Mus musculus: one gene and its partners. The protein of the gene in region 4 interacts with the protein of the main gene of each other region in a pairwise test. Links are inferred from orthologs where the notes say so. Each region holds a gene or a part of one and is shown on either strand. Other genes may lie near its edges.

Evidence for each region.
Region 1: the proteins of Tpm3 (region 4) and Syce1 interact in binary tests that used the Homo sapiens proteins (3 or more experiments, as listed by UniProt). The two-hybrid records come from large-scale screens. The link is inferred for Mus musculus from reciprocal best matches to the Homo sapiens genes TPM3 and SYCE1.
Region 2: the proteins of Tpm3 (region 4) and Mad1l1 interact in binary tests that used the Homo sapiens proteins (3 or more experiments, as listed by UniProt). The two-hybrid records come from large-scale screens. The link is inferred for Mus musculus from reciprocal best matches to the Homo sapiens genes TPM3 and MAD1L1.
Region 3: the proteins of Tpm3 (region 4) and Lurap1 interact in binary tests that used the Homo sapiens proteins (3 or more experiments, as listed by UniProt). The two-hybrid records come from large-scale screens. The link is inferred for Mus musculus from reciprocal best matches to the Homo sapiens genes TPM3 and LURAP1.
Region 5: the proteins of Tpm3 (region 4) and Kxd1 interact in binary tests that used the Homo sapiens proteins (3 or more experiments, as listed by UniProt). The two-hybrid records come from large-scale screens. The link is inferred for Mus musculus from reciprocal best matches to the Homo sapiens genes TPM3 and KXD1.
Region 6: the proteins of Tpm3 (region 4) and Ikbip interact in a two-hybrid assay, tested with the Homo sapiens proteins (2 studies listed by BioGRID). The two-hybrid records come from large-scale screens. The link is inferred for Mus musculus from reciprocal best matches to the Homo sapiens genes TPM3 and IKBIP.
Region 7: the proteins of Tpm3 (region 4) and Hsf2 interact in binary tests that used the Homo sapiens proteins (3 or more experiments, as listed by UniProt). The two-hybrid records come from large-scale screens. The link is inferred for Mus musculus from reciprocal best matches to the Homo sapiens genes TPM3 and HSF2.

Annotation. Positions count from the first base shown.
Region 1 is NC_000073.6:140,777,613-140,781,752, forward strand, and holds part of Syce1 (synaptonemal complex central element protein 1), read right to left. Parts: intron 3,323-4,140; coding exon 3,263-3,322; intron 2,920-3,262; coding exon 2,845-2,919; intron 2,319-2,844; coding exon 2,271-2,318; intron 2,037-2,270; coding exon 1,982-2,036; intron 1,815-1,981; coding exon 1,725-1,814; intron 1,517-1,724; coding exon 1,453-1,516; intron 965-1,452; coding exon 898-964; intron 821-897; coding exon 697-820; intron 634-696; coding exon 523-633; intron 387-522; coding exon 305-386; intron 121-304; coding exon 49-120; 3' UTR 1-48. UniProt on the Homo sapiens protein: Major component of the transverse central element of synaptonemal complexes (SCS), formed between homologous chromosomes during meiotic prophase. Requires SYCP1 in order to be incorporated into the central element.
Region 2 is NC_000071.6:140,318,503-140,323,206, forward strand, and holds the start of Mad1l1 (mitotic spindle assembly checkpoint protein MAD1), read right to left. Parts: upstream 3,051-4,704; 5' UTR 3,005-3,050; intron 1-3,004. UniProt on the Homo sapiens protein: Component of the spindle-assembly checkpoint that prevents the onset of anaphase until all chromosomes are properly aligned at the metaphase plate.
Region 3 is NC_000070.6:116,136,121-116,139,455, reverse strand, and holds the end of Lurap1 (leucine rich adaptor protein 1), read left to right. Parts: intron 1-614; exon of another isoform or gene 615-750; intron 751-1,621; coding exon 1,622-2,143; 3' UTR 2,144-2,728; downstream 2,729-3,335. UniProt on the Homo sapiens protein: Acts as an activator of the canonical NF-kappa-B pathway and drive the production of pro-inflammatory cytokines. Promotes the antigen (Ag)-presenting and priming function of dendritic cells via the canonical NF-kappa-B pathway.
Region 4 is NC_000069.6:90,085,633-90,089,772, forward strand, and holds part of Tpm3 (tropomyosin alpha-3 chain), read left to right. Parts: intron 1-813; coding exon 814-947; intron 948-1,822; coding exon 1,823-1,940; intron 1,941-2,041; coding exon 2,042-2,112; intron 2,113-2,768; coding exon of another isoform or gene 2,769-2,844; intron 2,845-3,415; coding exon 3,416-3,491; intron 3,492-4,140. UniProt on the Homo sapiens protein: Binds to actin filaments in muscle and non-muscle cells. Plays a central role, in association with the troponin complex, in the calcium dependent regulation of vertebrate striated muscle contraction.
Region 5 is NC_000074.6:70,516,382-70,520,521, forward strand, and holds part of Kxd1 (kxDL motif-containing protein 1), read right to left. Parts: intron 3,681-4,140; 5' UTR 3,657-3,680; coding exon 3,556-3,656; intron 2,137-3,555; coding exon 1,984-2,136; intron 1-1,983.
Region 6 is NC_000076.6:91,081,245-91,086,150, forward strand, and holds the start of Ikbip (inhibitor of nuclear factor kappa-B kinase-interacting protein), read left to right. Parts: upstream 1-1,794; 5' UTR 1,795-1,882; coding exon 1,883-2,052; intron 2,053-4,906. UniProt on the Homo sapiens protein: Target of p53/TP53 with pro-apoptotic function.
Region 7 is NC_000076.6:57,499,467-57,503,606, reverse strand, and holds part of Hsf2 (heat shock factor protein 2), read right to left. Parts: coding exon 4,116-4,140; intron 2,238-4,115; coding exon 2,176-2,237; intron 985-2,175; coding exon 897-984; intron 1-896. UniProt on the Homo sapiens protein: DNA-binding protein that specifically binds heat shock promoter elements (HSE) and activates transcription. In higher eukaryotes, HSF is unable to bind to the HSE unless the cells are heat shocked.

The DNA of each region.
Region 1 (4,140 bases), on a different chromosome or scaffold from region 4:
CCGCAAGTGATGTCTGAAGTCAGTAAGTCCTCCAGGCTGAGGAGGGTATTAGGTCCTGCTTGATGGGCGCTCTTGGTCTTGGGCTGTCTCCTCGTGGACTTCTACAGGTTTAGGACTGGCCTGTGGGAGGTAAAGGCCCAGGCATTTTTCCCTGCTCCTACCACCCCTTTCTACCTTTCTGTGCCCATGCTACCATGAGTTTACACCTCTGCCTCAGCTGTGCCTCCTCAGAGGAATGCCCTTTCCACAGACTATACTCTGGAGAATACCACTTTTTTCCTTTCCCTTCTGTTCCCGGATTTACCATCCTCCATGAGCTGTCTTCTTCGTTTTGCGTACTATGAGCAAGGATCTGTACCCCATGCTTTTCCAGTTCTTCCTTCAGCCTGTCCGGGAAGCGTGAAGGACGAGAATGAAAGCAGAAAAATCAAGAAAATATGAAGAGACATACCGGCAGAACAGGGGAAACAGCTGCCATTCACCTTCCTGGGAGAAATGAGGACACAGGAGCTCCGTGCCTACCTCTGCCGTTTCTGCTGTAGCTGGTGGCACCTCTGCTGCAGCTGCTCGTGCTGCTGAGCTGCAGCCTCTAGGAACTCCTCAGCTTTCTTGTTCTCATCCTTGAACATCTGCCTGATAGTGTGGAAAGAAGTCAGTGCTAGACATTTCCTCCTCCTGCCCCACCCTGCATCTTACATTGCTGCAGCTGCCTCATGGCTTCGGAGGAAGAGTCCCTCAATGAGGCTGGAAGAACCCTCAGGCCCGCCCAGGGCACACAGCCGCTGTCTCACATCCTCCAGCTTTACTTTCATCAGTTTCTCTACAGAGAGAAAGAGTAATAAGAAGGTAAGGGCAGGTTGGTGCAGCTGAGAGCCACCCTTCTGGCCCTGACCTCACCTTCCTTGAGCAGCTGCTCCTTGCTGCTGTCCAAAACACACATCTCCTTTGTCAGATGTTCAGGCTTCTGGGGTGGGGGGGCACAAACAAGAAGATATGTCCAGATCTCCTGGCTCCCCTGAGCTTCAGAGAAGCCTGTCTACATCTCATCATTTCTCCTCTCAGTAAGTTTCACTTCCGAGGACCCTGCCCCTTGGTGTGTGCCAGCTATGGTTTATGGATCTCGTCATTCCCTCTCCTCGGACCTTTAACCCTGTAATGAGGTTCTAGGGCAAGTATTCGAAACCCTAAAATCTGCAATCCTACAATCCTGAGACACTCTGAAGACTTAGGTATTAGCGTTTCTTCCTCTCTTCTCTCCTCCTGGCCTCCTCACTGACATAGAGAACACTGAATGGACACAGCAACATGAGTGAATGGTAAGGACCAATACTGAAGACACCAAGTATCTCAAGAGTGGTCACCAGGGACTGGATTTACGATGACAGCAGGACCACCAACCAATGCTTGCACAGGGACAAAGTATAATAGGTAGCATAGTGTTGTATGACTCACATGAAATTCCAAGGTGTCCTTATGTTGACTCATCAAAGTCTCCAGATGTTCTTCAAAATCCAACCTAGGAGGCAACCACAGAGCCATGATGGCCATGAACTACCACAGAGCTAGGCCAAGGTCTGAGTCTATATAGCACCCAAGGACTTCGTGTCCACTCTTACACAAGGAATAGCTTCACCCCTTGACCATCCAGGACTATGGCTGGCCATCCCGGGCATTACTATACCTATATCACGTCCCCAGCCCAAGCCTCACACCTTGAGGTTTACCTCAGTTTTCTTAGTTTGGCCTTCTCTTTGTCGATCTGGGAGTTCAGGAAAGAAATTCTCTCTTTACACTCCTGCAACATGCTGTGCTTCCTGGGAAAGAAACCAACACTCAGCCATGTTCTTTGAATGACTCTCCTGGAGGGAGGGCTGGGGGCTTCTATTCTGTTCCTCTGTATTCAAGCCTGTGTCTAGCAGAGCAGATGGTGTGGGAGGTAACAGGAACACTTAGGGAAACCACTGCAGGCATGGCATCTTACCTCTGTGCCTCACTTTCCTTCTCCTGGCAGTGCAGCTGCATAATCCTCAGGGTCTCTGTAAGGATAACAACAGTGCCCTCTGAGTGCTTGCTAAGGCATCTAATTTGGCAAATAGAAAAAAACATATCACATCAAGTCTGTGGACACTTGATTGGATTTTGACATTTTCTGGGTCTGGTAAAAGCCATAGGAATGTCACAAGGTTGGGAGTTCTTAAGTTTCTAGCTACTAGAGAGAGTGGGCTTAGATAGGGTATCACAAAGCCTAGAAATGGGTAATATGGGAATACCTTCCTTTCTGTTCAAAATATCCTTCAGACGTACTTTCTCTTCACGTACTAGAAAAGATGATGAAGGTTCAGGCATTAGAGACCAAACACAGAAACGTCAAGGGCAGTCATACGAGAGGCAAGTATAACTGTGACCCTAACCCAGATGCAGTTTCCTTGAGGTAAGTTCCTACCCCTACGGGTATCCACATTCCTGTAAACACAATGTGCCCTAATTTTCACAAAAGATATCCATGTCCATGTACAACAACCACTGGGACCAGGAAAAACAACACCAATCAAAAGGGCTATGTGATCAGGTAATGCAAGATGACTAAGAAAGACATTTCTAATAATATACAGCTGCTGGTGTGAGGCAATAACTTGTATTATCTAGGGCAATACATGGAGGATCATCTCTGCAAAGGACTCAGGGCAGAACAGGCCTCAAAGGCATTTCCACAGCCCTCCTGTTAGAAGATGGGACTGCTAGAAGAAATGAGGTTGGAGGAGAAGTCATGGCCCGGGTGTTTGCAGGACTGCATTAGAAGTCTAAGACATCATAGAAACCTCTAGTGACTCTCAGTTAACTTACGTAAGTCCAGTTCCTTCTGCAGGTTGTCCCAGACAGTCTGGGCCTCTCCAAGCTCCTCACTGGCTTTCTTTTTTGCTTTACCAAAGAGGAGGACAGACATTTGGTAAGTACAGCCTCAAGGACAAATGAGGAGATTTCACACTCTCCCCCCAAAGAAAACTTAGAGGGGGCCCAGATTTTACAAAGCAGGAAACAAGGCTTTCTAAATCCTGGCCCTTCTTGCTAGGCTCGGGTGGCAGCAGGGCTGTGTTCACAGGCAAATGACTATGGCGGTTACAGGCAGAAGGGCCCTGCACTTATGCTCTCATGAAATAACTACAGAGACTTTAACAAGGACCCCTGTATTTCCACTTTTTATTGGGCCTGGCCAGTTAAAACTTGTAGCTGGTCCTGGATGGCAGCCAATCACTGAGCTCACCTTGCTGAACCTCATTAATACGGTTAATCAGGACCTCAATCCGGGGCTCTAGGCTTCCCACTGCAAAGCAAAAAGGAAGCTCATTATTGATAGAGTGTGTCTAACCTGGGATTCTACAGCTTTTACTTTACAGAAATCTCCTAAGCATCTCACGTGTACAGGTGCTACATTACGGTCTCAATCTAGGATTGTGGGGACAAGGAACAGACCGATAGAGATACTGAGCCAAGCTGTAGGAACTTCAGTCAAGAGAAATGAAGCAAGGGGAGAGGTCCATAGGCAAAGGTCAAAAAGTGCTTCTCAGATATGGGAAAGTGTCTTGGGGGGCTTCCATCAAGGAAGGCAGGCCCTCAGGCTCTCTGGGTAAAGCAGTGGGTGCCCTGAGGAGGAAATGAGAAGGAAACAGGATACATATGATCAAGTAGAAGGTGGCAGGATGTAAAGTGGAAGAGGTTATGGGTAAAACCTCTGGATCTAACAGACTGCTGTGAAGTCAAAGGAGACCTGGGACGGTGCTTTGGGAAGACATATTGCCTTCTTCTGTTCACTCTCATGCTACTATAACTTTGAATCATCATGACTCCCTTTTAGTTCAAAAACTAAAATTTAAGGAACAGTGAGATGGTTCCATGGGTAAAGGTACTTTCTACCAAGCCTGACAACCTGAGTTTGATCCCTGGAACCCACATAGAAGGAGAGAACTTAAGCTACCCTCTGACGTCATTACATGGTATGTGTGAGCATGCACATTGCATACATACATACATACATACATACATACAAAACACCAAATTTTCTTTAAAATTAAAACTTATGTTCAGAAGCATCTATTTTTATTTTATGTGTATGAGTGTTTTGCTTGCATATATGTATATGTA
Region 2 (4,704 bases), on a different chromosome or scaffold from region 4:
AGTAGCCAGAAGAGGCTATGTAGCTGAGCTGGAGACAGGCAGCAACAGCTCACCATGGGCTTTCTGAAAGAACAGTCAGTGGACAGAGAAGGGCAAACCGAAGGCTCTGTTCAGATCGGGGACTGGGATGGGCCAGGGAAGGAGTCAAGTAAGTGAGGTGGGGACTTACACGCTGACTCACGGGGCTCACATGCGCTGCACTGGCAGGACTGCTGCCCTCCCATGGGCATGGAGGCCAAGCAAAGGGAGAGCAGGGCTCTCACAAGACGCCTGGATAAGGACAATGAGCAGCATCCAGCTGTCAGACTGAAGCCAGGAGCTAGAGAACTGAAAAACTGCAGAGTGCAGACACTCAGGAAATAGGTGTACTGAGGTCCTTGAGAGGCATGCAGTGACAGATGGCATCTAGTCAGGCAGAAAGGCAGAGGACATGGCTGGGATTCTGTGACCCTGGTTGGGTCTCTTCTCGGTTTGGGATCATGGAATCTATGTGGGATGTCTGTAACTTTAATGTCTGTGGGTTACCTGGTGTGGGGCTGGGGAAGTGGCTTAGTGGATAAAGATGCTTCCCACAAACCCTGCTGACCTGAGTTTGAGTCCCATGACTCCCAAGGAGGGAGGAAAGAAATGATTCCCACACTGTGACACCTGACACCCTGGGATTCAGACACATGAGGACAACAAAAGCAGACACATCCAGACTAGGCAACATTCTAGCCTTTAACCCACAAACGATTGCCTGGTCCCCCTAGAACAGAGGACTCTGGGACAGGTCCAAAATATTCTGGTAAGTCTAGATAAGTAGACCCAGACTTGCCAGCAACTAACAATACCGCCCTGGGTTCAGAAGCCACGATGGTGGTAGGCAGGGGACCCCAAGCCTCTTCAGTCTTCTATTGAGAGTTGAGTAACCCCATAACCTTTCTCTTGGAGGTCACCTGAGCTGTCCTACAACTTCCAGTTAGAGTCAGCCCAGGGGACAGTGAGTGAACCAGTGGGGCTGTATGGAAGGAGTCTGCACTGCCTCAGTAGCTGTCTAAACTCCTTCACAACCCACTGGGGACAGAATGGAGAGGCTGAATATATGTCACGCCAGGTTAGACTGAAAGACCAGGTAAGGTGTTGGAGAGAGTCTGCAGCAAAGAAGTTGTCTTAGTCAGGGTTTCTATTCCTGCACAAAACATCATGACCAAGAAGCAAGTTGGGGAGGAAAGGGTTTATTCAGCTTACACCTCCAAACATGTGTTCATCACTAAAGGAAGTCAGGACTGGAACTCAAGCAGGTCAGGAAGCAGGAGCTGATGCAGAGGCCATGGAGGGAATGTGACTTACTGGCTTGCTTCCCCTGGCTTGCTCAGCTTGCTTTCTTATAGAACCCAAGACCACCAGTCCAGTATGGCACTACCCACAACGGGCCCTCCCCCCTTGGTCACTAATTGAGAAAATGCCCCACAGTGGATCTCACAGAGGCATTTCCTCACCTGAAGCTCCTTTCTCTGTGATAACTCCAGCTGTGTTAAGCTGACACACAAAACCAGCCAGTACAGGAGTCTAAGCATTTCTCAGTTGGAGAAAGGTCCTTGAGAAGAGGAATGTATGTGAGGGGCTGAGGCAAGATCACAAGTCATGGGCCAGCCTGGGTTATACAAAAACCTAAAAATACAGCTAGACCCAATCTCAAAACGGGTGTGTGTGGGGGGGGGGGGTAACTTTGCAGAAATTTCTTCTGAATTTCCCACTTACAAGAACCGTGGTGTGCACCCCAATTACACATATGACAAAGCGAAGCTAGTGGCCAGGTGGACAACAGGCACAGTGGGAGAAGTGGGCCTTTGCTCACCAAGACACACTTTCTGTCCTCCCTCTTCGGACCAACACAAGAACTCTGCCATTAACACACAAGAATGAAGGGCTGCGGTTTCAGAAGCCACGACACCACACAGGTAACTAAAGCGCCACCTCAAGTTGTACCCTCTCCACAAGAACCCTGAACTTCCAGACAGCAGACTTTCCAGGACACCAGCTGCTCTGGATGGCTCCTGAGTTAACAGGGACACACACACCTTCTTTCTGGTTTCAGCCAAGGGACAGCCTGAGAACCTAGCACTTGGTGACACAGGTCTGTCATCCCAGGTACTCAGAAGGCTGAGACAAATTCAAGGGCTGGTGGCAAGTTCAAGATCAGCCCGGAAAACTTGGGAAGCCCCATCACAGAATAAAAATTAAGAAGAAAAAGTAAGGATTGGGCTGAGGAGGCAGCAGAGTAGGTGACTGCTTAGCGTACTGCTCTGCGAGAATGGGGACTGAAAACAACTCAATCTGTAAAGGCACTTTAGGGCAAGACAAGACAAGCAAGGTTCCATCTTTAGGACCCATATGGAAGAAGAAGAGAATTAAGTTATCCTCCAACCTCGACAGGAAGCCTGGTATATATATGCAAACACACACAAATCAATTAATTAGCCGATTAATTAATTTTTAAAAGGACTGGGGACATAGCTCAGTGGTAGAATGCATAAGTTCCTTGGTCAATCAACAGTACTGCCAAAAACAAACAGACAGACAGACAGACAGACAGACACACACACACACACACACACACACACAGTGGGCCTGACATGCGACTCAGCGCTCACCGGGGCTTGCCACCAAGACTGGTCAACCTGAGTTCGATCCCTGGGACCTACAAAATAACCGACTCCAACCCCGGGAGCCCTTCAGCCCACAGTGGGCCACGCTGTCCCCTCCGCCCCCGCCCCCGTCCCGGTCCCGGTCCAGGCCCGCCACCCCAGGCTCTGCAGCGGGACACCGGGGTGGGAGACCGTCCAGAGCGGCCCCGGGAGGGAGACACGGGGGACCCGGCAAAGGGAAGGCGCGCGACAGGACCGACTCAGAATGCATGCGTGTCGATGGCAGCAGACAGCTCCCTCCCGTGGCCTCGTTACGGTCGGGCAGGGCGCGAGGCGCCTGGGGCGCTCGCAGATCCCGCCACCGGGTCCCTTACCTCAGTTGAGGAGCCCGGTGCTGCAGCAGCCGCTCAGATCTCCCTCCTCTCCGCCGGTGTCTATATATCGCGAGACTTCCGCCGGGGTCTCGCGAGATCTGAGAAAACGGCCCGTAAAGAATTAAATATGTGCTCCACGGGCGTAGCCTGAGAACAAACCGCAGTCCCGCCAGGGGACCCGGAACCAAACTGGGCCCGGCTGCCTGTCCCGCAGGGCGCTCTTCCACTGCCCCGGGGTGCGCCGTAATGTATGGAATAGCACCGCGCAGGAGGAAAGGTTTGTTTGTTTTTGTTTTTGAGACAATGTTTCTCTGTGTAGCCTCGAACTCACAAAGATCCACCCGTGCCTGCCTCTGCCTCCCTGGAATTAAAGGCTTGCCGCACAACTGCTGGGCACGCTCGGAAAGGGAACAAAGTTTTGGAAAGTTGCGTTGCCTCTGAATCTTGCCACTTTGTATACACAGGTTGTTTTGTTTGGGCACTGTTTTGATTGGTTAGCTTGTTTCACTTTCTTTCTTTTGTGAATGAGAAGTCCTGGGAAGAAGTCCTTCACGTTGCGGGTCCAGAGCCTGATGAAATTTGTCTAGGGGCTATGTCTTTAGCCTCCTTCCTACCCGTTGCTTTCCTGCCTCTGCGTCAGCTCTAACGTGTTGTGACTAATGAATAAAAACCTCTTGGAATAAATTAAAACCCGGTTTCTACCAACCAAAATCCCCCGGACAGCATCAGAAGCATATAGCTGGTATTTCTCTTTGGTGTAACTGCCTACTTAAATCTTCCAACAGGCCGGTTTTTTATGTTTTATTATTTTATTTTGTGTATGGGTGTTTCATGTGCATGCATGATGTCCATAGAGACCAGATGAGGTCAGCAGAGCCTCTGGAACGGGAGTTAGATGTCTGTGAGCCAACATGTGTGTGCTGAGCACTGAACCTGGTGATCTTAACCTGAGCCATTTCTCTGGCCCACCACCAATGGCTTGGTTTGCTTTGGTTGTTTGGTTGTTTTTGTTTTGGGTTTTTTAAATAATTTTATTTATTGATATTAATAAATAATATTAATAAATAATAAACAATTTATTTATTTAATACATTTGAGTACACTATAGCTGTCTTCAGACACTCCAGAAGAGGGAGTCAGACCTCATTACGGATGGTTGTGAGCCACCATGTGGTTGCTGGGATTTGAACTCAGGACCTTTGGAAGAGCAGTCAGTACTCTTAACGGCTGAGCCATCTCTCTAGCCCCTTGTTTGGGGTTTTTTTAAGACAGGGTTTCCCTGTGTAGCCCTGGCTGTCCTGGAACTCAAGGCTAGCCTCAAACTTACAGAGACCCACCTGCCTCTGCCCGCCTCCCAAGTGCTAAGAATAAAGGAGTGTACCACCTGGCCCCCACCAATGTATTTTTAAGGTGCCCTGACTCATGACTTTGTTCTGTTACTATAAAAACTTCCTCATTGCTTCCAGACTGGAATGTGGAATATAGGGTAACCTAAGTCTGTATTTATGGGACATAGTCATTCATTTTTGGCTTGAATAAACAATCCCTCCAGTTGGTTGGTAGTGGCACATGTTTTTAATCCCAGCACTCAGAGGCTGAGGCAAGAGTATCACTGTGAGTTCGAGCCCAGCCTGGGCTACAAAGCAAGTTCCTGGACAACCAGGGCTACACAGAGAAACCCGATCTAGAAGAAAATAATA
Region 3 (3,335 bases), on a different chromosome or scaffold from region 4:
TCACCCACTACTAACACACTTTCTCCAACAAGGCCACCCTCCTTATAGTGCCACTCTCTACGGGCCAAGCATTTAAACATATGAGTGTGTGGGGGGGCATTCCTCTTCAAACTACCACACCCAGTCAGAATGGATTTTGGATTTGTGTGTATGTGTCCATGTGCTGTATCTGCATGTACACCTACATGCTAGAAGAGGACATCAGAACTCATTACAGATGGTTGTGAGCCATCATGTGGTTGCTGGGAATTGAACTCAGTACTTCAGGAAGAGTAGTCGGTGCTCTTAATCACTGAGCCATCTCTCCAGCCCCCTAGTTCAGTTTTTTAAAAGCAACCAAAATTCTCAGGGCAGGAACCAAACTCCAGTTCTCATGAGAAGCACCAGCACTTAACTGTTGAGCCATCTCTTAAGCCCCTGGCCTCAAACTCTTGATTCCCACCTCAGCCTGTTTGCTTGTTTGATTTTTGAGACAGTGTGTTACTATGTAGTCATAGCTAACCTGTAACTCACTTTGTAGACTAGGCTGGCCTTGATCTTCCTGCCTCTGCCTCTCAAGTGTTTCCTCAGTTTCTTAAGTGCTAAAGTTATATGCATGAACCATATTTTTTTTAAATCTTGTTTTATTTTATTATTTTATTTCATTAATTTTAAAACAGGGTTTCATGAAGCTCCGGCTGGTCTTGAACTGCCAACATAGCTGAGAATGGCCTTGAACTTCTGATCCTCTTCCTTCCACCTCCAGAGTGCCTGGATTACAAGTGTGCATCACCACCTTAGTTTATCCAGTGCTAGGGACAGAATCCAGGGCCTAGTGCATGCTAGGCAAGTGTTCCTCCCACTGAGCTACATCCAACCCCCCTAGCCTCATATTTTAATATTTAACACCTACAAAGCCTCCCCTGTAGAAAGTGCACACCTGATAGCATTTCAAAATCCTTGCTTTCATGCTGTAAAGTGAATGATTTAGCCTGTTTTTCCTTTTCTTTCTTTTTTAGTTTTTATTTATTTATTTTTTGAGACAGGGTTTCTCTGTGTAGCTCTGGTTGTCCTGGAGCTCACTTTGTAGACCAGGCTGGCCTCAAACTCAGAAATCCTCCTGCCTCTGGGATTAAATCCGTCACTACCGGGCTAGCCTTGTTTTTCAATCAAGGAAACTGAGGCTCAAAGAAAATAGAATAGCTACTTAGAATCGTGTAGCTAATCAATAGGAAAGTTGTTTTGTTGTTGGTGGGTTTTTTTGTTTTGCTTTGTTTTTTGAGCTAGGGTTTCTCTGTGTAAGCTCTGTAGACCAGGCTTGCCCCAAACTCAGAGATCCGACTGCCTTTGCTCTCGAGTGCTGGGATTAAGGCATGCACCACTGCCTGGTTGGGAAGTTGCTTTTTTGTCTGGTGCAAGGCATGATGGAACCCAGGATTTCAGACATGCTAAGGTGGCAAGTTGATCTCCAGCCTAGCTTGATCTGAAAATTTAAACAGGAGTCTCTTTGCTCTAACCCTCCCACCCCCAATCTCTTTCCGTGCTTTTAAAAGTGAAGTGTAGCTGGCTGAACTGCAAGATTCGGGAAACACCTGGGGAACTCAGCTTGAAACGGAACTAATCTCTTTTCTCACTTCCTCAGGCTTACCTGCGAGCTATCGATGTGAAGATCCTGCAGCAGCTGGTGACCTTGAACGAGGGTATTGAGGCAGTGCGCTGGCTGCTGGAGGAGCGGGGTACACTGACGAGCCATTGCAGCAGTCTCACCAGCAGTCAGTACAGTCTGACAGGGGGAAGCCCAGGACGCTCAAGGCGGGGCAGTTGGGACAGCCTGCCAGACACCAGTTCAACTGACCGGCTGGACAGTGTCTCTATTGGCAGCTTCTTGGACACTGTGACCCCCAGAGAGCTGGATGAACAAGGACTCCCTGGGCCTTCCTGTCCTGAGATTGACTGGGCAAAGGTTATCCCCACTGAGGACAGGGCCAGGACTGAGGTGGACATGACATCCACTAAGCTAGGGAGCTTAACAGCCACATGGAAGCTCCCGGGGGATGGGCTCCAGTGTGGACCACCTGAGCCATCAGAGGATGGCAATGCTAACCAGGGCTTTGAAGCTCATTGGTACTGGGGACAGTGCCAGGATGATGTGACCTTCTTGTAAAAACTTTCCTACCCATTTGTACTTTGTGGCTCTTTCAACTTTTGGCCCAAGTCTCCCTCAATTTTTCCTCCACCTCCAACTAACTAGACAGAGGCTGTATTACAATCCGTTACCATGGAAGCCTGGCTTATCTCTCTGGTTCCTGGGGAGCCTCTGCATTTATCCCTCAATTATTGGGTCCCTAGAGCTATTTCCATAGAGATATTGACTCTAGAGGCCTAGCCTGTGGCTCCTGTTGTAAGGGTATCTCCATGCCCCTCCCCAGTGAGGTGAATTTTATGGAACGTAGGGCCTCTAGGAGATCACTGAAGAAGAGATGGGGGATAATCACCCCATCCAAAGCCTAGGAGCCAGGATGCCTCTTACAGAACGGTGGAGATTGACCCTGTCAGATGCGCAAGCCTCCATGGACTGGCCCTCCTAGATGCCTTTGGAGTTGGGAGACCAATCCTTTCATGCCTGCTGAGTGACTTCATTGCCTGTCATGATACATGAAGTGCTTCCTCTGTACCAGTCCTGGTGGGTGTGGCACTTAATGTCCCTGCCGCTGCCTCCTGTGATAGGGAACATACCGCTTTTCCTGGGAAATGTGTGTGCTGCTTTTCTCAAGTTCTTACTTTTCAAACATGGTGTTTTCATGTTGTACCCAAGGATTTCACTACTATGGCTACATCCCTGTCCAGGGCTGTAAGGATGTACTCTTAGTAACAAACTCAGAGGCCTCCACTTAGGCTCCCCAATCTGTTTGGCTTACTTTACTGCAGACTCTTGTCTGGCCCTGGGCTGCCCTCATCCCTGATTCCTGCCTCCAGATCTGTCGTCTAGGAGTTTAGTCTGAGTTTCTTCACACATTCACATTTTCCTTTTTAGGCCTCTTGGGTTTTTTGTTTGTTTGTTTTTGGTGACAGGGTTTTTCTGTGTATCTCAGGCTGTCCTGAAACTCAGTCTGTACATCAGGATAGCCTCGAACTCACAGATCTGGCTACCTCAGCCTCCTGAGTGCTGGGGTTAAGTGTGTGCCACTACCGCCCAGCTAGACCTCTGCATTTTTATGTCTCTTATGCCTCTGTTGCTTGGGAATAAGGAGAGTGAAGGTCTCCTTATTCTGGAGACACTCTTGGATAGTGGGATGATCTTGTCATCTCTACCCCTGTGCTTGCTTACTATTCCCTCATTCTGGCCAGCCTTCCAC
Region 4 (4,140 bases):
CTGGAAGGCATTAGTTGGTCATCTTCCTGGTGTGTTCGGGGAAGGAGATCACAAGGTTAAACTGGTATACATAGAGAAATATAAAATGATAGAAATACTAAACACCGGGTATCCTGGCATTTGCCTGTAGTCCCAACACTCAGGAGGATCTGGAGTTGAAAACTGGAAGTAGCTGTCATTGAAGGAGAAGTCTGTCTCCTCTAGCTGCTTTTTTGAGACAGGATCTCACTGTGTAGACTAGGACTAGACTGGCTTCAGACTCAGGGAGACCTACTTGCCTCTGCCTCCTGCGTGCCACAATTGAAGGTGTGTGTCAATACACCCGGCTTTGTTGGCCCTTATAGGTTCTGGGATTTGAATTGAGTCCAGAAGAGAAAAAATGATACTGTGTGGATAAGGAACTGAATTTTAGAATGCTCTGCAGGGCTGAGGGTACCACCCCTTTGTTAGAGTGCTTGTCGGACATGCACAAAACCCTGGGTTCTATCCCTCACACAGCATAAATTGGACATTGTGGAACATACCTGTAATCTCAACACTTGGGAGGTACTCCATGGCACGTTCAAGCCAGCGTGGGCTACGTGAGGTTAGTTCACATGAGCAAAACATTTCCTGTTTAACCAATGGGAGTTCTTAGCTAGGGAAGGAGGAAACTGATTAGTAATCATGTAGTTAGATCTTTAGCATTTAAAGCAAGACAGGCTCTATCTTACCTACACGACTGGCTTCTTCATAGTAGTCAGGTCTAGCCTTCTGTTACAGTTGGTTTTCTCACCAGAAGTTGATTTGTTTTCCATTTCCCATTGATTGAAGGCTGAAGCTGAGGTGGCCTCCTTGAACCGCAGGATCCAGCTGGTTGAAGAGGAGCTGGACCGTGCGCAGGAGCGCCTTGCCACTGCTTTGCAGAAGCTGGAGGAAGCAGAGAAGGCTGCTGATGAGAGTGAGAGGTGTGTGAATCCCAAAAGAATAGGCCGGCGGGGCTTCTGGGTGGAGCAGCCCTCTCCTGCCTGGCCTGAGGTGTCCTGGGTTCCATCCCTGGCACTGCAGACAGTAAAGCTGATAGTGGCTCTGACCTGGATTTTCCACTAGACCTGTTTTTTGTTTTGTTTGTGTTTTTTGTTTGAGGCATGGTCTCATGTAACCCAGACTGGCTTTGAACTCTTGAGCCTCCCGCCTCCACTCTTTGGGTTTGTTTTTGTTTGTTTGTTTGGTTTTGGTTTTGGTTTTTTGAGACAGGGTTTCTCTGTGTAGCCCTGGCTGTCCTGGAACTCACTTTGTAGACCAGGCTGGCCTCGAACTCAGAAATCCGCCTGCCTCTGCCGCCTGAGTGCTGGGATTAAAGGTGTGCGCCACCATGCTGGGCTTCGCCTCCACTTTTTAATTGCTGGGATTGCAGGCCTGTTCCACCGTATCCTGGTCTAGACCTGCTTTTGTTTTTGCAGATTGAACACAGTATCTACCTTCTGTGCTAAGCACATCCTCTACCACTGACTTACCCTCCCAGCCCCTGAGACCTACTTTTTAAATGGTAGTGATTTTATATTACTAGTATTATTTTATACTATGCAAATTGAACTCGGGCCTTGCAAATACCAGGCACCTGTTCTATTGTTAAATCCCATTCCCTGGCCCAAATTTGTTTGTTTTATAAGGAAAAGTTTTCAGTTAAATGGTACAGGTGCTGGAATGCTATGGAATTTCTGTTTGGGCAGCGGAACAGGAATGGGACTGGGAAGGGCGTGGTTTTGAGTGTTTGAAATGGAGTTGATGCCCAGCTCAGAATGTCATTGCTGTGTTCATTCTTTCATTCTGTTTCCGGCAGAGGTATGAAGGTGATTGAAAATCGGGCTCTAAAAGATGAAGAAAAGATGGAACTCCAGGAAATCCAGCTAAAGGAAGCAAAGCACATTGCAGAAGAGGCCGATAGGAAGTATGAAGAGGTGAGTTGCCTCTGCAGTGCGTGCGGGCCCTGCAAAGACAGTCAAGAGGGGATAGCTATCGCCCTGGCTTGATTGAGCCGTACTGGGGTCTTTTCTTCTAGGTGGCTCGTAAGTTGGTGATTATTGAAGGAGACTTGGAACGCACGGAGGAACGTGCTGAGCTGGCAGAGTCGTGAGTATTTTGTCTCCAGATCTTGTCAGCTCATCCTGCCTGCTTGGGCACTAATTCCGAGTAAACTAGCCTTCCTTTGACCTTGTTAAACAGGCCCTGGAGGGTGGTGGTCCTCTGTAGTGCTTTTAGCCTCCAAGAATGGCTTTGGGCTTTCTCTTACCTTGACTAGAAACAGGGAACAAAGCTTGCTTATTCTTGGGAAGATTCTCAAATAGAGGGACCATAGAGACTAATATGGCCACTGGCTAGTTGGAAGATCCTATTGGGTCCTTCCTCCTGGAATCTATTCCTCCTTGGCCTGTACCGATTTCGGGCCTGGTCTCTTTTTTTTTTTTTTTTTTTTTTTTTTTACAAACTTTGCCAATCTGCCTGGAAACTTGAGAGCAAAGGCTTTAGAGAAATCACCTGCTGCCTTGGTACCAGCTTGGCCTTGTGTAACAAAGTCAGCGTGGATGTGTATGTGTTGTGCTTGCCTCGCACACTCCCCGTCCTCTTCAGACATGACATATATCATGACCATGGCGGTGTTTCCTTTCCATCTGTTTGTTGTTTTGACCCACCCCACACCCCGTCTTGCGGCTTGTTTTCTTGCTCTTCCTTTTTTAACCTTTTCCCCACAACCTGGCTTGTGCCATTCCCGTGACTGTCACTAACAGCCGTTGCCGAGAGATGGATGAACAGATCAGACTGATGGACCAGAACCTGAAGTGTCTGAGTGCTGCTGAAGAAAAGGTACTAACCCTGAAGCCCGCGCACGGAGAGCTTCCTTCCGTGTGTGTGGTATGGTCTCCTTCGGTTTGGTTTTGTTTTGCAGCTGCCTCCCTCCACCAGTTGATTTGTTGAGTGCGTTCTCATCTCCATGGAATGCTCCATTCTTCCTTTCCACTTACTTGGCATCTCTCATCTCTTCTTTCCTAGTTGCTTCACTGCCTCCCCCTGAGGGTCTCTGCCTCCCCTGGGTGTTTGGGGGTTGTTAGGTTGGGCCTCTGTCCCTGTATCCACCCCCCAAGTAGCAGTCATAACTGTTCCCTGGTAGTGAGTGATTTCTCTCAAGTGTTCTTTCTTTATCAGAGCCAAACACTCCGAGCACAGGAGGGCCAGCTCCTAGCATACCTACCTGCTCCGTGCTAGGGGGAGGAGGGTTGATACCTGCTCAGGTTACCCAGCAGCTTTTCCTCCCTGATATACAGCCCAGCTCTCTCTACACATAGGCTCAATTCACATCTGTGTGTCTCTCTCCCCTTTTTTTTTCTTCCTCTTCCTCTTCCCCTTTTCCTCTCCTTTGGTATTAAAATGTTCACAGTAAGTGTTCTGAGCTGGAGGAGGAGCTGAAGAATGTCACCAACAACCTCAAGTCTCTTGAGGCTCAGGCGGAGAAGGTAGGGCTGGTTTGTGAAGATGCACAGGCTTTGGGGCTTGGGCCCAGCCCTGCCCTTAATGAAACAAGACATACCCATTCTGTATAATAATAATGAAAGACATACCCATTCTGTATAATAAATCGAGGGAAAAGCGAGCGTTCTCTTCCTTCCCACCTTTGTCTATCAGAGAGTAGGTTAATGCTAACTCCTCTGTACCCCCCCCCCCCCATCTCGGGTTTAAATAACTCTGGTCTGCGGTGCTCCTGGAGTGTGCTCCTTGAGTTGATACTGCCGTGCTCAAAATCAGTTATAAGGAGCATAAGATGGGGCAACAGAGCGCCAGCTCTCGAGACCTGTCTAGGAGCAGTCAGGGCAGATGATTGCCACTTACCATCATGAGGGATGCTTTAACTGTCGATTCCTGCTCGTTAACTTGGAGAAAGGAAAAGCACTTTGGGTTGACAGAAGTAGGATGAAAATTTAGGTCTGTTAACAAAAGAAAAAAAAAGGTCCTGGTGAAGTTTACACTGCAAGTTTTGTTTGCAGATAGTTGGGTCTTAGGACTCTTGCTTTTTTTAGTCCTGGACCAAATCAAATCCAGAAGAATGTCTATGACTTATGTGAGAATAATATGGCTGTTGTCTGTGAGATGGTCTCTACTCTGAAA
Region 5 (4,140 bases), on a different chromosome or scaffold from region 4:
TGTGCCTGAATTACATGTGCACTGGGCGAGCACAGTCTCCTCAGACCCCTCTGGCTTTTTGAGACAAAGATTTGTTGGTAGCTCAGGCTGTCCTTGAACTCACTACAGAGCCCCCACTGACCTGGAAATCAAATTCCTCCTGTCTCAAGCTCCGGTGCACAGGATCACAGGCATGTGTCATCATGCCCAGTTGGCTTTATTACCTTATGAACTGGCTGCTGATTACTCTGCCTTAAGTCCTGCACTCCAGGCCTGCCAGGAGCTAGGGAAGGTCTTCAGACAGCACAGCTCCTGTCCTGGCTGCAGTCAGCCTGGCACAATTAACAGCTGAGGATCAGCACCTGACACACTGGACACATGCTGCTGTATTAACTCAAAGAGCTCCTTCTATTCCCCAAACTCCATGTAGGATCAGCTTGGTGTTCTGGGCTACAAGTGTGTATGAGAGGGAGGTAGGAGACAGGATAGCAGAGCACCTAGGCACTAGGGAGGCAGAGGCAGGAGGCTCTCTCTGAGTTTCAGGATAGTCATTGAGACCTTACCTCAAAAATAAAGCAAAATAACACTAATAGAAAGAATGAAATAGCTGGGCGGTAGTGGTGCACACCTTTAATCCCAGCACTTGGGAGGCAGAGGCAAGCGGATTTCTGAGTTTGAGGCCAGCCTGGTCTACAAAAGTGAGTTCCAGGACAGCCAGAGCTACACAGAGAAACCCTGTCTCGAAAAGCCAAAAAAAAAAAAGGGGCTGGAGAGATGGCTCAGTGGGTAAGAGCACCCGACTGCTCTTCTGAAGGTTTGGAGTTCAAATCCCAGCAACCACATGGTGGCTCACAACCATCCGTAACAAGATCTGACTCCCTCTTCTGGATTGTCTGAAGACAGCTACAGTGTACTTACATATAATAAATAAATGAATCTTTAAAAATATTTAAAAAAAAAAAAGGTGTGATGCTTTAAAAAAAAAAAAGAATGAAATAGACTGGTTTAGAACATCTCAAAACTTTTGAGTAGAGTTTACTTTGTCCCCTTAGGTCCCAAGGCCAGAGCCTTGGGCTGAGGGAAAAAAAGGGCATATGTGTGATCTGGATCCCATGGTCTTGGCTGTTCTGGGTCTGGGCAGCTGGCTGCAGGTGTGTCCACTGCAGTGATAGGTAAGGCTGGGAAGTACATCTGAAGGAGCACCTAAGTGCCACAGACATGGGTATCATGGTCCAGGAGCCAGCACCACTGTGGGAAGACCCAACCAAACCTGCCTCTATCCAGGATGGACCCGGGTCCCTGGTGTTCTGCTGGCCAGCCAGCTAGAAGTGGAGGGCCTGGCCTGTCTACCCAACTATAACCTCTCCTGACTTATATTTGGGTCCCAGCTACGTAGCACAGTTATCAAATAAAAGGGAAAGTCACAACTGGGTGTTTAAATGCCTACGCCTTCAATCCCAGCACCCATGAAGCAGAGGCAGATGGATCTCTGGGTTTGAGACCAGCCTATTCTACAGAGGGAGTCCCAGAACAGCAAAGGCTACACAGAGAGAAACCCTGTCTCAAAAACAAGTGGGAGTGGGTGGGATTGGAGGCGGGGTGGGGGTGGGGGGTAGACTCACTACTTCCAGATTACTCCCTCAGAGGTCAGATCTACCTTGTAAAACAACCAGAATTCTCTGGGCTGGAGAAGACAGAGGGCAGAGCCAGTGGAGAGAAGAGGAGGGAGCCTCAGAGGGGAGGGAGGAGAGAGTGTAGGGCAAGGACTTAAGGGGAAAGGTGTGGCTTCAGAAGACACTAAGGAGGCAGAGGCTAGCAAAGGCTCCTGGGTAAAATCTGGGAGGTGATAGGCAGAGCTTCAGAGTGGAGGAGCTGGACATCTAAAGCAAGTTGGGTGACAGACAGAAAGGGCTAATAGTGGGGTATTGGGGAATAGTGGTTTGGGGAAGATGTGCTTGCTTGTAAGACAGGCTGAGGAGGCATCTGGCTGGGGGGAGGGGCCACCTGATCCTTCGGAAAATGCTGTCCAGATCCCGTTTCATGTCCACCAAGGTGCGGGTATGGTGCATGAAGCGCTCACTCATCTGTTGCAGCCGCACACTGGACAGATTGTTGAAGTTCAGAAGCATCTCGTTGGTTTTCTCGAAGCGGTCCAGCCTAGGGGGAGAGGGCAAGGGCCTTTGCATCAGGCCTAGGAGCCCCCTCAGCCCGAGCTAATCCCTGAGAGTCACAGCCTCTGCATTTAATTACAGAGCCAAGGCCTCAAGAATTCTATCTACTGTTCAGATCACCCAACTCCTGCTCAGCTGAAAGCCCTATTCAGAGGTACTCTTTGTTGCAGCCTGACTCCTTCACGGAGTTCTTTAGCATGCATTAGTTCTGACAGGATGCTGCCTGGTCTGGGAGCTACTTCATGTTCTAAACAGACCTTAAATGGCCTCTAGAGAAGCACTATGATTATAGGCTTGTGCCACTACATCCAGTCACAAAGCTGACATGTGTTTATTTATTAGCTGACCTTTTTGTTTGTTTGTTTTGAGACAGGATTTCTCTGTGTAGTCCTGGCTGTCCTGGAACTCACTTTGTAGACCAGGTTGGCCTCAAACTGAGAAATCTGCCTGCCTCTGCCTCCCGAGTGCTGGGATTAAAGGTGTGCGCCACCACGCCTGGCTAGCTGACCTTTTATAAGATTTTTTTTTTTTTTTTTTGAGTCAGTATCTCACTATGTAGCCTTGACTGGCTTGGAGCTCATGAATGAAGGAGTTAAAGCTGTGCGCCACTGCACCAGACCCAGACTTATTTTCTATTCTGTACTTGGCCTGTGTTCCTCTGTGGAACATGTATATATAGTGCTTACAGACGCCAGAAGGTGTGGGACCCAGGGAACATGAGTCACAGTTGTGAGCCGCCTTTCTCAGAATCACTCACTCCTCAAGCTGACTGCTCCTTGTTACACTGTGTAAACCCCAAGTCAATCCCAAGGGCCAGGACAGTTCCCGTTTGATTTTGTCACTGTTAGTCTGGGAGTTTACGTGACCATATCCGAACCTAACCTAAAGAACCAGGAGAGAATCCTGGCCATGGTGACAAAACCTAAAAAAACAAAACAAAACCCCCAAACAGGAAATAATGAAGTAAATAATCTGAGGCAGAGAGCCCTAGAAGACTGCCGCATCTGGCTGAAGGCTGTGTTATGAACATGGAGCTAGCTACTAGAACGGACTTGGAGCATCTGCATGCTTAGCAAACACCACCAAGTCACCTTCAAAAGCTAAATTCAGGGTGAAGCTGTCCCAGCAAGGGAATGAAGCATCCTGAACAAGGCTCCCTGCATACCCAAACTGGGCTCTGGGTGCCAATGCCAAAAGCTAGCCCAGAAGAGCCTCTGAGTATTCCTGTCTCTCCAGCCCTCCCAGCCCTGGCCTGGGGACAGAACCACTTGGCCCTGTCATGCACAGCTCCAAGATCTGATCCCATGCCAAGATTAGAGCCTGGAGCTCGTTTTCTTTACCACATCCTGGGCAGGGCTTGGGGGAGATAGTAGGACCCTTCCCATGCCTCCCATGGCCTGCTCACATATTCTTCTGGGCCAGGATTATGGCATTGACATCATCAGTGTTCACCATGCTGAGGAAGCGGCCACAGAAGACCCTTGAGGCTGAGTCTGGGGTGTCCATCTCTTTCTCCTCCGCCTCCAATGCCTGAAATGAGCAGAACAATGTGAGGTCAGCACGAGACAGGTGATGTCAAGAACTCATCATGTCCCCTAACACATCACCCCAGCTGGAAATATGGGGTGTTTGGGAGCCTAGCAGGAACACATCCCAATAAAACATAAGCCTGGAGGGCAGAACATGGTAGCACACTTGTTGATTCCAACATTGAAGAAGCTAAGGCAGGAGGACGGAGACTTAAGCTACCTGGGGGCTGAAATTTTCACTCTGCCACCCTCCATAGCTCACACTGGACCAAACCCCAGAACTCTCCACAGGCACAGCTGGGCATGTCATTTCTCCTTTCATTGTCCACACTAGGTTCTGCAAGGCGGTCACTCCACCTTCTCTTAAGCTCTGTGCCTGCCTAGCTTCAGGTCAGTCTTTTTTATGGAACACGGCTATAGTACTCACATGATAGAGGACAGACTACAGAGACTGAGTTTCC
Region 6 (4,906 bases), on a different chromosome or scaffold from region 4:
GCCTTTAATCCCAGCACTCCGGAGGCAGAGACAGGTGGATCTCTGAGTTCGAGGCCAGCCTGGTCTACAAAGTGAGTTCCAGGACAGCCAGGGCTATGCAGAGAAACCCCGTTATGAAAAGATTTTTGGTTATGTCCAATAATTAAGCAAAAACCAAATACTCTACCGGGCAGTGGTGGAGCACACCTTTAATCCCAGCACTTGGGAGTCAGAGGCAGGTGGATTTCTGAGTTCAAGGCCAGCCTGGTCTACAGAGTGAGTTCCAGAACAGCCAGGGCTACACAGAGAAACCCTGTCTCCAAAAAAAAAAAAAAAAACAAAAACAAAAAACACTTTGACAACTAAGTTCCAATTTTCTCTAGCCTTACTGAACTCATATACATAAATTATATATATATATATAATATTTTTTTTGTTTTGGTTTTTTTTTTTTTTTTTTTTTTTTTTTTTTTTTGGTTTTTCGAGACAGGGTTTCTCTGTATAGCCCTGGCTGTCCTGGAACTCACTTTGTAGACCAGACTGGCCTCGAACTCAGAAATCCACCTGCCTCTGCCTCCCGAGTGCTAGGATTAAAGGCGTGCACCACCATGCCCAGCCATAAATTATATAAATTTTAAACAACTTTTTTCAAACTTTACACAAACTGGAATACTATGGGCAAATTCCCAGGGCCACAACCTCTTTGTGGCCACAACAAAACAGAAAGCCAAAACTGGTCCGAGATACAGACCACAATATAAAGGCTAAGTCTATCCAGGAAAACAGTAATAGTGGTCTACTTCCTCCTTAGATAATTTCTCTTCCTGGTACAAGAGCAGGAGGATGATTACCAAACATCCCGCGTCCCCTGATCTTTCAGTCCCTGGGAGCTACAACAGAACTTGCAAAGAGCCTGCCCAGAGGAGCTTGGGGAGGTGAGACCGAGGCAGTAAACTTACCCAAGCCTTTGCACCGGAGTTGTGCTGGGAAGAGCAGCCGGGGGAGGGTCACTGATGATAATCGAAAGAAAGCAGCCCAGGGAGGGTCACTTATGAGACTAGATTGCCAGAAAGCAGCCGGGGCTCCCGCCTGGCTTCCGGCGACCCCGCGCCCCGGGCAGGTCCTGACACCTCCCTGGGTATCAGCTGCTCGGGGCGCAGGGTGGATGCCCGGGATCTCCAAGCGGCGTCGAGGGGTGGTCACCTCGGTGGGCTTGCCTCGGGCCGCACCAGGGGAGGGTACCGGGACCCAGGGCACAAAAGCACGGCCACTCCAGTCGCCGCTTCACCCCTCTGGCGGGAGCTGCCCGGGCGGGAAGCGGACGCCGCTCGGAAAGCCGCTGCGACTGTCTCAGATCGTCGCCGGTGGCTGATGGCACACACCCCTCGCTGCCGACCCCCACACACCCCTCTCACACCCTTCCGCGAGCGGAGTGAGACGTCTGCTCCTCTAGCTGCCTCCTGGTCTCTGCCTCAGGACCGCGGAGCACTCAAACACCGCTGGGCCCGCCCAGTCCACACAGCGCGCGCCCGGGCACGCAAATTCACTCGCCCAGGGCCCGCCGCCGCGGCCGCGCGCGCGCGCCCCGCCCGGCGCGTGACCGCAAGCCCTGGTTGAGCGTTCTCGCATGCGCGGTGGGGTGGGGCTAAGCCGCGGGCTCGCGCCCAGCTAGACGTGGCACTCTCGGCCCCGCCCCCTCTACGCGCCTCTCCGCAACCTGCGCGCACCCGCGAGCTTGGGTCTCCCGCAGACTCAGTCGGGTAGCGGAATCCAGAGGCGGGGCCAGCCGCTTGAGGGCGGGGCACAGCCTTGGTGGGCGTGGCCTTCCGAAGCTGCTCTGCAGCCACGTCCCACGGCCCCCCTCCAAAGCCATCCTGGCTTCAAGATCTTCAGGGATCCAGACATGTCCGAAGTGAAGAGCCGAAAGAAGCCGGGGCCCAAAGTGGCTGCTCCTGAGCCCGAGAAGCGGAGTGATGGCAGGAAAAACCCCGAGGCGCGGGGGGACGCGGGCTGGGCGGACCCCCGCACTGGGCTCAGCCTGCTGTCTCTGGCGATGACCCTGGGCCTGGCCTGGTAAGTGTGCGATGCTGCAGGCCGTGGGTCGGGCCTCGCGTGGGCGCCTAGCACCTCGAGCCAACCCACTCTCGCTTGAATACGCTCTTTTAACAATGTTCTGGTAGCATGCTCCTGTCGCTGCCCTCTAAAGTCTGGGAACATGTCACCCAGGACTCGGCCCACACTTTATTAAGCATCTACTACTGCACGTCACAAGTTTGCACATACCTAAAAACCACTACTTCCCGTCCACTCTGTAGCTTTGCGGATGAGTTTGCTCCACCCTCCACCAAAAATCGCACTCTTAAAATGTCTGCAGCCTAATAAAAAAAAGTTCGTTGTTGCTGAGCGATAAATGCTAATGAGACTTTCTCCTATTTAGAGCTGTGTGCCTACATTAAAACTATAGTCCTTTTTTAAAGATTTATTCTTGTTTATGTGTATGAGTGTCAGTGTATTTGTGCACGTGTGTGCAGGTGCGCGAGGATCCCGCAAGAGAGTGTCAAATCCAAGAAGCTGGAGTTACCAATGGTTGTAAGACACCAGACATGCATGTTCTTAACAGCTATAAAAGACTATATAGTCTTACTCCTAAATTACAAGTTGAACTGTATGTAACATTGTAAAGAATATGTTTTCCCTTAAGACTAAACATTCGTGTTTTCTTATTGTTGTTGTTTTAGTTTTTTGATACAGGGTTTCTCTGTGTAGCCCTGGCTGTCCTTGAACTCACTTTGTAGGCCAGGCTGGCCTGGAACTCAGAGATCTGCCTGCCTCCACCTCCCTAGTACTGGTGTTAAAGGCATGTACTACCACAACCTGGCTGTATGACACATACAACCCAGCTATATACATGTATTTTTACACTTTATTTGCAGTAGTGGGGGCACCGCCATCCCGCTCAACATTTGTAGCTTTGAAACCAAGCATATATTAGTGATATATTAGTGTAAATGTGGAATAAGAGAGCTAATAGAATTCAGAAAAGACTCTGGATATCCTCCAGGGTAGAGTAGTTTTGATGCAGGTTTATTTCCAGCTTAGTTTATTGGTGACACCCTGAGTCCTTGAGTTTTTTGTTTTTTTTTTTTTTTGGGGGGGGGGGTCTATGGTTGAGTGGTTGGTTTGGTTTTTTGAGAAAGGCTCTTAGGTAGCCTAGGTTAGATTAGAACTCACTATATAGCCGAAGGTGACATTGAACCCCTGATCTTCCTGCCTTCACCTCCCAAGTGCTAGGATTATACTAGGCATTTGTACTGGGTAATGCTTGAGTACTGGGTTTTGTTATAAGTTAATAAAAACGTGTTCAACTGAAATACAGATCATTGTCCTCTTTAAAAAGAACTTTATTTAATGATAGTGTTAGTATTTGAAGAATATATTAATTCTGATCTAAATGTGTTGGATTTGCTGTTTTAAATAAACTATGCATACCTTAAAATGCATGCCTTTTTAGGTAAATGGGGACATGGTACATTTTGTATTGGGAAAGAATATTACTGAGTTATTGTTAGTTCTCTGTAGGGCAGTGTTTCTCACCCTGTGGGTTGAGACCCCCACAGGGGTAACATATCAGATATTTATATTGTGATGCATAATGGTAGCAAAATTACAGCTTTGAAATAGCAATGAAAATAATTTTATGGTTGAGGCTCACCACAACATGAGGAACTGTATTAAAGGGCCACAACTTTAGGAAGGCTGAGAACCACTGCACCAGGGCTTAATACAAGTGGTTTTAGTTGCTAAATTTATTCCTCTAGTTCCCGTTAATTAGACAAAGCCTCATAATCCACTAAGAAACTATGTCATAGAATGTTCAGCTTTTTTGATAATTCAAGTTCAAAAAATGATTCCGTTGAGTCAGCAAGATGGTACATTTGATAAAAGCATTTGCTCTGCAAAGCCAAAGGACAGCCTGAATTCTATCCCCAGCATTCACACAATGGAAAAAGAGAACTGAATCCCCAGAGTTGTCCTCTGACCTCCATACATGCACAGTGGAACACCTGTGACCACACACAGAGAGACAAATAAAAATAGTAATGAGGTGGAGGGCAATTGAGAAAGACAACCAGCTTCAGTCTCTGACTTACACACACACACACACACACACCACAACACACACACCACAACACATACACACACCTTAAAAAGTTGTGCTTCATCTTAGGGATTTAACATTAAGGGTTAAATTAAAGACAAAACATGTTAGTTACACTGATTAGAAAGGTTATTTATAAGCTGAGCTTTGTCTCTCCAAAGTGATTTTTTAAATGTCAAATCAAAATTATAAAGCAAGAGTGTAAATCTGTATCCAAAACTTTATCTATTTACGTTCATTAAGAAAAACTAATAGTGCCGGGTGGTGGCGGCAGCGGCGAACGCTTTTAATCCCAGCACTCGGGAGGCAGAGGCAGGCAGATTTCTGAGTTCGAGGCCAGCCTGTTCTACAGAGTGAGTTCCAGGACAGCCAAGGCTATACAGAGAAACCCTGTCTCGAAAAAAGCAAACAAACAAAAAAACAGAAACAAAACCTAATAGTGATATATTATTTTAAAATAACATACAGTTAATATATTTGGAGTTATTTAAAATTTATATTGAGAAATGTATGTATTTTCAGTATTGCTGTAGACAAACATCTACATAAGACTGTTCCATTGTTGTCTTATAATCAAACAACTTTTATAATAATCATTTTTATTGTTACAATATTTTATGAATTTTAAAGAATATGATAAAAATCGAAAAGTATTGCAGGTTTAGAAGGGAGGCTCTTTGGGAGGAGTTGGGGTACAAAGGGAAAGAAGAATGTGATGTAAGTCTTATTTACTCAAAATATGTTTGTTTTTTTTTTTTTTTGAGACAG
Region 7 (4,140 bases), on a different chromosome or scaffold from region 4:
AGCAAACCTTCATCTACTTTATATAAGCTTTCAACCCAACACCCATGCCACACAGGTTTACAATATATACTTGGTTTAGAAAGAGAAAGGGGCTGAACACTGAGATATGATGAAGTTAACACTGTCCTGGGGGGGTAAAATAAACAAAACTTCAACAGCCCAACAGTTAATGTGACATAATATTTGAAAATTCTAACAGTTCAAAATAAGAGTAATTTAGTAGGACAGCATTTGCCTTACTGTTCAAAAACTCAGCTCTGATCTCTAGTACATCAAAAAAGAAAAAGGAGATTATCAATGAGAGAGAGAGAGAGCAGTATCATAAAAAAAAAGGCACAACGTGTTTGATGGTAGACTAATCTGCAATTAGATGTTAACAAATTATATAGTCTATAGCAAAAACAAAATCATGCACAAATATTCTGAAATTGCTAGAGAAAAGCACTCTAGTTGGCACATGGTAGATGAAAAGAAAATTCCATAATCATGTTACACTATGATGACCGCATCACTCTTCACCTTATACAGCACTATAAAAACTACATAAGGCCACGCTGTTGAGGTAGAGCTCCCTGGTAAACTTCATGCAGTCCACATTGCACAGTACTGAAATATCATCACCACTGGCATGTGTAGATATCCACAGAATAACAGTCATAGTTCTGAATGTACCACACAAAACAGCATGGCAATGACAACTAGAAAGCTGGGAAATAAGCAACTGTATTGTAACGATGTTTCTTAAAATACCTGACAGCAAATAACGGAACTGTCACAACGCGGCAGAGCTGGGGAGTGAGCACTTACATTATTCACTAAACGGCTCTGACTGCATGAAACACTGCCACAATAAAATTTAGTTTGAGACAATAAATATAAAATGCATTAAAATTTACTTTATGATGGTGATTATCAGTTGGTTCTTTGACTATGTGCTGATATAGATTCTTCTTTGGGGCTCCATTTGTGTTTAGAAGTAGAGGCCTGTAAATAAGAATTGTAATATTTAATTTCACCCCAAAAATGAAAGAATAAAAGGTTTCTACTAATTTACTCATATACTTCCTTCAATAGTGAATGAAAGCTCTCAATAAGTATACAATAGAAATTCTTTAGAACTATTCAACTCCATACAAAGTATACCTAGCTTTTAAAACAGTAGTATCACAGAATAAAAGGCAATAGAATTAAAGCCACAGACTTAGATGTATAAACTGTCAAAATCTTAGCCTTATAGCTCACCTTTTCCTCCTTCCATCTATGCCTTTGTCAATTATTCTTCTAGTTCAGATATGACAATGTCACCAATAGCTAACATATTTATATGCATTACCACCTATCATTAGGATTTTAAATTATCAAGTCTACTAAATTTAAAGTAAACCAAATATCTGATTCTCTCCTTCCTCACAACATTATTTTTAAAGAGTTCTCCTCACTGGGGCCTTTTAATGCTACTTTAAACTGGTAACATGAATGAAAACTCAGTAACTTCTGCAAGGCTACTAAAAGTGACCACCTGGCCTAGCTTACAAACATAAGCAGGAAGCAGAGAGTGCAGTGCTATCTGCAACCCCAGCACCCAGGAGGCAGACTAGGAGCTGGTGAGTTTGAGGCGACTTCCAGGTATCTAGGTAAGGCCCTATAACAGGGGAGGGGGGTGGGGGAGATGACAATAGATCATCACAAGGATGACAATGAGAAGACAAACAGGGTGCATATATCCAAAATGTGTAACCTTATTATGATGATACTGCACAAATGGAAAATTCACTCATACTTATGTGATGGGCCATGGTGAACTAAGGGCCTATGAGATGAAAATCTTCTGAGCCCTTTTAGCTATATGACTAAACTACCTTATGTACAAAATTATTAAAGATATTATATGTAATTACTTTCAGACTGCATGCACACAAAACACAAACATTTGAACTCAGACATAAATTTCATCACTGGTGATTCATAGGCTTGTAAATATCCCCCCAAATTCTCAAATATTTCTACTATCCTAAGTATTGTGGAAAGGGATCCTCACCCTGTTAAGACTATTCTTGAAATGCTAACATAATTTAACAAGGGAAAGCTGTTCTTTGGTACCAGGCATACACTCAGCAAATAGGTATTCATGATTCAACACTTAAATGTTTGTAAGCCAAAACTCAAAAAACTTACCTTTTACGTTTTAAACTCACAAGTTGATTATTCTGAACCAATGTAACAATAAACTGGACAATCTGAGAGGAAAATGTAAATAAAATTCTTTCATCAAAGACTGTGTAAATTTTTAAAAAAGACTTTGCAAATTATATTAAATTACATTAGTTACAACCCAGCTGTCTGCCTTCAAGCAGTGTGCTCAATAAATGCCTCTAAAACACACACATATAATGCTAAGTCATTATATTTCCCACAATCTTAACATATGAGATTTGTTTTTCCAGGAAGACAGCACTGTGAAGCAAAAAAGACAAACTGTTGTACGACAACCATTTTCTAACAAAGGTAATATAATTAGAAGCAAAAGGAATTACTAACTCAGAACAGATCATACAATTCAGGCTTCAAAGAGTATACTGGCCAGTTTTATCATCCATGCAAGCTTACCCAAGCTACAGACATAGTAAATTTTAAATATCTGCTAAACTTAGAGGAAACTTTATTAAACAAATAGACCTAACCAACTACTCTTATTTTATAGGCTTGTTTCTTTATGTAAGACACATGGCTGGCTACGCCGATCCAGTGTCTTCTTAGACGTTTAATCCTCAACCTCACTACAAAACTGCTCCATCTGAATTCTGATGGCGTCCAGCAATGTATGTGTTAACTAGGTGGTTAGGAAGCTTCTAGGTAGCCTGTGAGAGCCACTGCAGCTTCCACTATGACTTGAAACTGTATTGTCAGCTTCCTACCATAGATGCCAAGTACAAGTGAAGCCTGTGAGTAATAATGACCAAAGTGTTCTGGTGTCTGAAGAAGGCCAAAGTAGTTGGAGGACCGTTCAGACTCTGTAGAGTTTCATATGCTTTATGAAATGCAATTACATGATTAAAATAGAATATATCAAGCCAGGCATGGTGGCACACACCTTTAATCCCAGCACTCAGGAGGCAGAGGCAGGCGGATTTCTGAGTTTGAGGCCAGCCTGGTCTACAGAGTGAGTTCCAGGACAGCCAGGGCTATACAGAGAAAGCCTGTCTCCAAAAACCAAAAAAAAAAAAAAAAAAAAAAAAATCAACTAAGTATTATATTATACATCAAATTCAAACTTCAAAGTTGAACAGGAAAAGTGCTGGCTAAAAACTGAAGTCCTGTTGTAAGTTCATCAATTAACTTTGTTTTTTGAAAAAAGAAAGTGCAGATGAAGTAGTTCATATTCAACCAAAATGCTGTCTTATGAAAAATAGTAACAGAGTCTTTTCATCAAGTACAAAATTAAGAACAGCTGTTACTTTAATGCATTAGAACTTCGTACAGAAGTTAAACAAACAAATACTTGAAACACTGGGAAATGAATTCAATAATATTTAACCTTAATGTTACTTTACATCATAACACAGGTTACCGTTTTGATCATAGGCCACATGCGACAACTGCTCTTCATGTCTGCCTAAGGCTGGCTCACTACACTCAAACCCTGTCAGTCATCAGCTTATTTTTAGCTCAAGTGACTTTTCAGCAAGAACAAGACTCATCACTCCCCCACCCCCACCCCTCCAAAGAACCTGTTGCTATGAGCCTCGTTTACTCATAAGCAAAAAATAGATCCCTCTATTGCTCTCCTGTTTCTTTACTTACTGACAAATGGAAGTTGGAACATAAAGATGAAATGACAAGGACACAATGCCAGGGGCAGGTTCTAGGGCCTCCTTTGATACAGCTCAGTATGCTGAATTTATTTACTACTTTACTGTAACTACGTATAGACTATGCCTGTTACATCATACACTGAGAAAAGCACCGCTGAACTCCTAGGTGGGCCACATGACTTAAAAATTAACTTTACCTATCAGAGTAAAAAGCAACAGGAAAAAGTCCACAGAACAGTCGAACGCAAACACAGAATACAAACAAGCAAATGCAGAGCACAGGGCAGGCTGGAAGCTTCTTACCTTCCGAATAACTTGTTGCTGCTGG